Kluyveromyces lactis: one gene and its partner. The protein of the gene in region 1 purifies or fractionates together with the protein of each later gene. This does not show direct contact. Links are inferred from orthologs where the notes say so. Each region holds a gene or a part of one and is shown on either strand. Other genes may lie near its edges.

Region 1 (2,232 bases):
CCCTATCATTCTATCGTATTAAACCTGTTCACACTTCCTAACAAAAGTACCAGAACTTACATCGGGTTCATTGTTACTTTCCGACGGTGTGCATAATTTGGCTACGACTTTTATTTTGCATACATCTACGCACCAATTTGCAGCAAAAAGCTATATGAAGAAAGATCAGGCAGGGGAAAGAAAGCGCATCGCATTCTGTGGCGTGGGTATATAATAAATAAATAACTGGATCGTTTTTGGTGAAATAGATCTATCTCAGACAAGCCAACATTGTTCCGAAGTATTGACCAAAGCAGAATATATAGTGATTCAAGAGATTGCTACGAACTATAGAAGGGGTTTTAACTAGAAAGAAAGTAATGACGCTAATAAAGATGTTTGCAGCTAGACAAGCCATAGGAAGATTTGCATTGATACAGAACAGAAACTTTCATGCTACGCCGATGAGATGTTATAAAAAATGGAATGAACTAAAGAAGGATGATAAGCAGGAGTTCATCAAGAATTTCGTTCTTTTGTACAAAGAAAAGCATCCATGCAGTAAGAGTAACGTAATGTACAGGGCGTTGGCCAGTGAAATGGATGAATACGATGATACCCCATACGTATTTGGTGTTTTGTACAATGAGATTAGGGCTGTTGAAAAAGGCGAATCTACTGATAACGAGAAAGGTGTAGGTGCGATGGGGGATGCAGATTTTGTAAAACTATTGTACAAGTAGAATTGTTGAGTTTCCGTACATAAAGAAAGAAAGGATAATATATTGTACATATTCACAATTTAATTTAAATTTCTATTCATCTCGGTCAGTATCACGTCAATTGCTTGAATGCATGCATTCTCAACTCAATACCCTATCAAGGTCATCATTTGATTCAATTGCATCCATGGCCTCCACAACATGTATAACTTCATCTTTACTAGTTTCTATTATAGATCCGTCACACATTATCATTTCATCCAATATGCTGTATGCCTTGCTAAAATTGAATATGATATCTAACTCGCAGACGTTCCCAAAATATCTATCCATAGTTTCCACAAATCTGTGTATAATTTCTAAAGTCAACAATTCGTTGTCCGAATCCAAATCAATCCCTGCAATGAAGTATAAACTGGCATATTTCTTGTACACGACTTTGTGATCTTGATATTCTAGAATATTGCACATTTTTGACTTCCTGGACAGTACGTTAGTCGTCACTTCCCTTAGTATTTTATGCTTGTACTTTATATCGAAGGGTTGATACCATCTGATTAACCTAGTCTTGCCTTGCCTCGACGTGAGAAGCATGTACTTAATCTGTGACATTTCAATGACCTTTTTTGTTTATAACGAATAGGATAGCTTTTGTCTCTTAAGCTCGGTGGTTGTGGTATTTAATGCCCTTGTTAATCGTTTATCCGTAGTTTCTCGGATACACCAATTGAAAAGTTGTAGAGCTGAATAATAACCTTAATTTTAAAACATCAACTGGGACAGAATTAGACTTAAACTTTGATTCTAGTGACCTGTTATTCTTTGTTTGTTTTCTTTTGCTTACATGCTGATTCATTCGATTCAGTTACGTTATTACATTCATGTTATATTAATAGTTAATATAACGAAAAATGAGAATCACCGCAGACGACTTTGCATGAAGCTGAAGAAGCGGATACACAAAGGATACATGCAATATATAATTTACATATCCATGACCTGGCCTAATCTTCATCTTCTGGAGGTGGAACCCATGCTGGTGGTTTGAAATATTCTTGATCACTGGCGACATCTTGCTTGAATTTTTCTCTATCGTCACAGAATTCGAGCAAATACTCGATTTCCAATTCATGGGTTTGCCTACCGAGTATAACTAAAGAATGCAATGGTTCACCAGAATCATATTCGGCTAGCTCTTTGATGGTACCTGCTTTGAAGGTTTGGCTTGCAGAACCTAGTCTTGAGATTGCTACACAGGGAGTATCAGGAGTATATGCCTCAGTGCCTCTTGTTTCTTCAATTTCCAATAGTTGTTCACAACATTGTGCAATACTCATGTATCTTGGAGGCTCATAAATGAGTCTTCCACGAGCCATATTCTCTATACTCTGTTCCTTCACTTTGATATCTAGAAGAACCAAGGTGTGCAACCCGATTTTCCGGTTTTCCCATATCTTGTCGTACCAGGAATCTGGTCTCCAACTATCGGTGAAAAAGACCATAGAGATCGTTTGACCAAAATTGTATAGTT
Region 2 (3,092 bases), about 250 kb from region 1:
CATTACGAATGATCTTCAAATGGTTCAAAATTTATCACATATTTATGGATCTTTAGGCATACCTCAGGATAAGCTATCCATTATAGACCCTGATTATGCTAGGAACAAAGTACCTGTTTTACACAAAGAAATTAATAAGGCAGTTTACTTGAATTTCTTACAGTTGCAATTCCCACTAATAGCTGTTTCCATTGGAGGATTTGTAACAGAGTTATGTACAGCCTACTCGATGGGAGCATTATCTTCGTTAGGTATTGTTTTAGGCCTGAAACGTGTAAAGGATACCTGGTATTCCATGTTAAAGCAATTCCAATTACAGATTAGGGAGGAATGCAGGATAGGAATTGAAAGCAACAAACAACTACTGTTGCATAATTGGGAGATTTCGTATGCCGAGAGAGAAGCAGACCTCAAAGGCAAAGTTGCTCTTTTGAAAGAAATAGCCGACGATCTCACGTAATTATCTATCTGACGGGAAAAGAATCTATTCTTTTTCTCTATATAGTTTGGTAATTTTAACTAAATGGAAACCTGGTATATATATTCGTTATCATTGACTGTCTTGTATCTAACCCATGGGAAAGATTGGTAGTTTAATTGAGGTTCTTCGATCTTGAAATACTCAACTTTTAAACCGCTCACTGCATAATAAGGGATTTCAAACGACATAGCAATTAACGCGAACTTGTCTACATCTTCTTTTTGGTTCTCATTGCCATCATATTCCGTAGTTTTTCCATGGTACTGATCCCAAATTCTCTCTAGTTTGGGGCCAGTCCTTAAAGGTGGTGGGTCCATGGAATTTCGTAGCTGCACCTCTAAAGCTTCATGAATCTGGCGGTCCCATATTTCAAACATGCATTTAAGCCCATAATTCTTGTTTCCATGACCACCCTTCAAATTGTTAATTTTCCAAATTATCGAACCCGCTGTTATGTCGAACACAACATCTCCTATATCGCTTTTAAACAGGGGCGGCTTTTCGAGGTCAATATTCCACTTTCGAATAACTGACTTTATCGGAATTTTAATTAAAAGCTCCTTTGCACTATCCTGAGCTTTGAAATGCGTAGTTATGGCAGCTTTCAACAATAGCTTATCCTGGGTTTCTTGGTTCTTTCTAGGTTTTTGGGATAGCCCGAATGACTGTAGTTTTATAACTGGTTCATCAAGTAGCGGTCTATTCAATTTATAATTACAAAGCTCAAATTCTCCATCCGGTGGAATAAACTTAATAACTGGAGATTCTTCCTTGATTAAGGTATGCAGGTCTACGCATTCATGGAATTTTAAACGTTTCATGAAGTGTACATTCTTCTGCATCAACTTATTCAATCCTATACTCAATTGAGGCATACCAGACAAATAACTCCGGCATATTATTGTTCCGTTGATTACATTATTTCTGACCACACCTTCCTCGAAATCCATAATGAATTCTAATTTCTCAATTACATCAAGAAAGAATTCGTTCTTACCGTAATGGATACCCTTAGGACGCCATGAGACAGCAGATGTCATCGTTCGAAGAATATAACTGTTTATGAATGTTTCATCCTGGTCACCTGGTGGCAGCTCATGTTTTTCAGAGGCTGTATTCTCGGAATCATCGTCGGGTTTGATAACTTCTACCTTTATGAAATCATGTATAATATTATAGTTTGTAACCTGTATGATACCATAATCGGATGATTCCTCAATAACTTCGAAAATTAAATGGAAGTTATCTCGTACATTGAGCTTGTTAAGCTTCATGCCCATAAATTTCCTGCATAACTGGTAGATTTCATCTAAGTAATGTAACACACTTATGGGAGAAACACTATTATTCACTTGCATTATCATAGCGAAATATAGGTTATCACGAGTTATCACAGCGTAATGCCACCCATTGCCTTCGAATATAGGTTTTGTGCATCCCTTATGATGTTTAAGGTTATTCTGTAATTGAAGTATAGCATCATCAAGGAAATGGATCGGTCGTAGTGCTCTTCTTATTAGCGGTTCATACGTCTCATCGAGCAAAAGGAAACATGATGACATTATGACAAGGCTGATTTGACCATCAGTTGATAGTTAACTCGGCACTCTAAATTTACTTCAGGTCTCGGTTAGGTTTGCAGTTACTATATATGCTAGAATAAATGGCTTTGAAGGTGTTTGTTCAAAGCACTTTTGATAAAATGGTGCTTCTTGTGTTTTGTTTCTTCTCAATATTTTTAGTTAATAAAGATTTCTTACATCTTGGAATTCTATCAACTACGCATAGAGAGATGCTGGAAAAGGTAATAAATGCCACTCTTCAAGCACTGAATAGTATAGACATGTACAATAAGATAGTAAAACAGGTACCAGTGCTGTTGCCACCAAAACTTCTGACACAAGAACTCAGAAAATTGCCTAAATGGAGATTAATGGAGAATGAATTGGTTAGAGATTATAAGTTCAGAGATTTTGAAGAGACATGGAGTTTTTTGAACAAAGTTGCCATGAGGTCACACTTATGGGGCCATCATCCTACAATTACTACTACCTACAACAGAGTTCAGTTCAGACTCACTACGCATGATGTATCTGGTATTTCCGATGCTGATATCATGATGGCTTCTCGGATTGAAAAATACATCAAACAAATCGATCCCAAGAAGGGCATCCTAATAGGGGATAAATAGAATGTATTAAATAAATAAATAATAGTGTACTTCTGTTTTGCATAATACCTTGCAAATACATGCTGTCATGATTCATTCCTTGCTTAGTCTTAGTTATGCCTGTACGTTTCTTTCATTGCTAGAAAGAAGTGACATACTGGGCAATTGCAATCATCTCTTACTGCTCTCCAGCTTCTTCTCAAGTTTTTCGAACTCCGCAAGTGCAATCTTCTCCTCAGGATCCAAGATCTGAACCACGTCCTCTACTTCTTCGATGTAATGCTTTAACATAGCTTCAATACCATGCTTCAAGGTATCCTCACTGGACGAACATGACTTACATGCACCTTGTAACTTCAAATAAACTGTCCCTGTCTCCGGATTCCATCCACGGTACTGGATATCACCACCGTCGTCCATAATAGCAGGTCTGATCCTTGT

What was found.
Region 2: the proteins of APS1 (region 1) and APM2 purify together in Saccharomyces cerevisiae (affinity purification with mass spectrometry; 4 studies listed by BioGRID, with this or other methods). This does not show direct contact. The link is inferred for Kluyveromyces lactis from reciprocal best matches to the Saccharomyces cerevisiae genes APS1 and APM2.

What each region holds. Positions count from the first base shown.
Region 1 is NC_006042.1:2,118,424-2,120,655, forward strand, and holds APS1 (Aps1p), read right to left. Parts: upstream 1,314-2,232; coding exon 843-1,313; downstream 1-842. Other genes in the region: KLLA0_F22792g (uncharacterized protein), read left to right, coding at 360-722; DPH5 (diphthine synthase), read right to left, coding at 1,706-2,232. UniProt on the Saccharomyces cerevisiae protein: Component of the adapter complexes which link clathrin to receptors in coated vesicles. Clathrin-associated protein complexes are believed to interact with the cytoplasmic tails of membrane proteins, leading to their selection and concentration.
Region 2 is NC_006042.1:2,364,915-2,368,006, forward strand, and holds APM2 (Apm2p), read right to left. Parts: upstream 2,044-3,092; coding exon 520-2,043; downstream 1-519. Other genes in the region: KLLA0_F25410g (uncharacterized protein), read left to right, coding at 1-460; MCO14 (4a-hydroxytetrahydrobiopterin dehydratase), read left to right, coding at 2,145-2,672; NFU1 (Nfu1p), read right to left, coding at 2,823-3,092. UniProt on the Saccharomyces cerevisiae protein: Component of the AP-1-related (AP-1R) complex, an adapter protein complex that mediates of cargo protein sorting in clathrin-coated vesicles. AP-1R has a specific role in SNARE SNC1 sorting.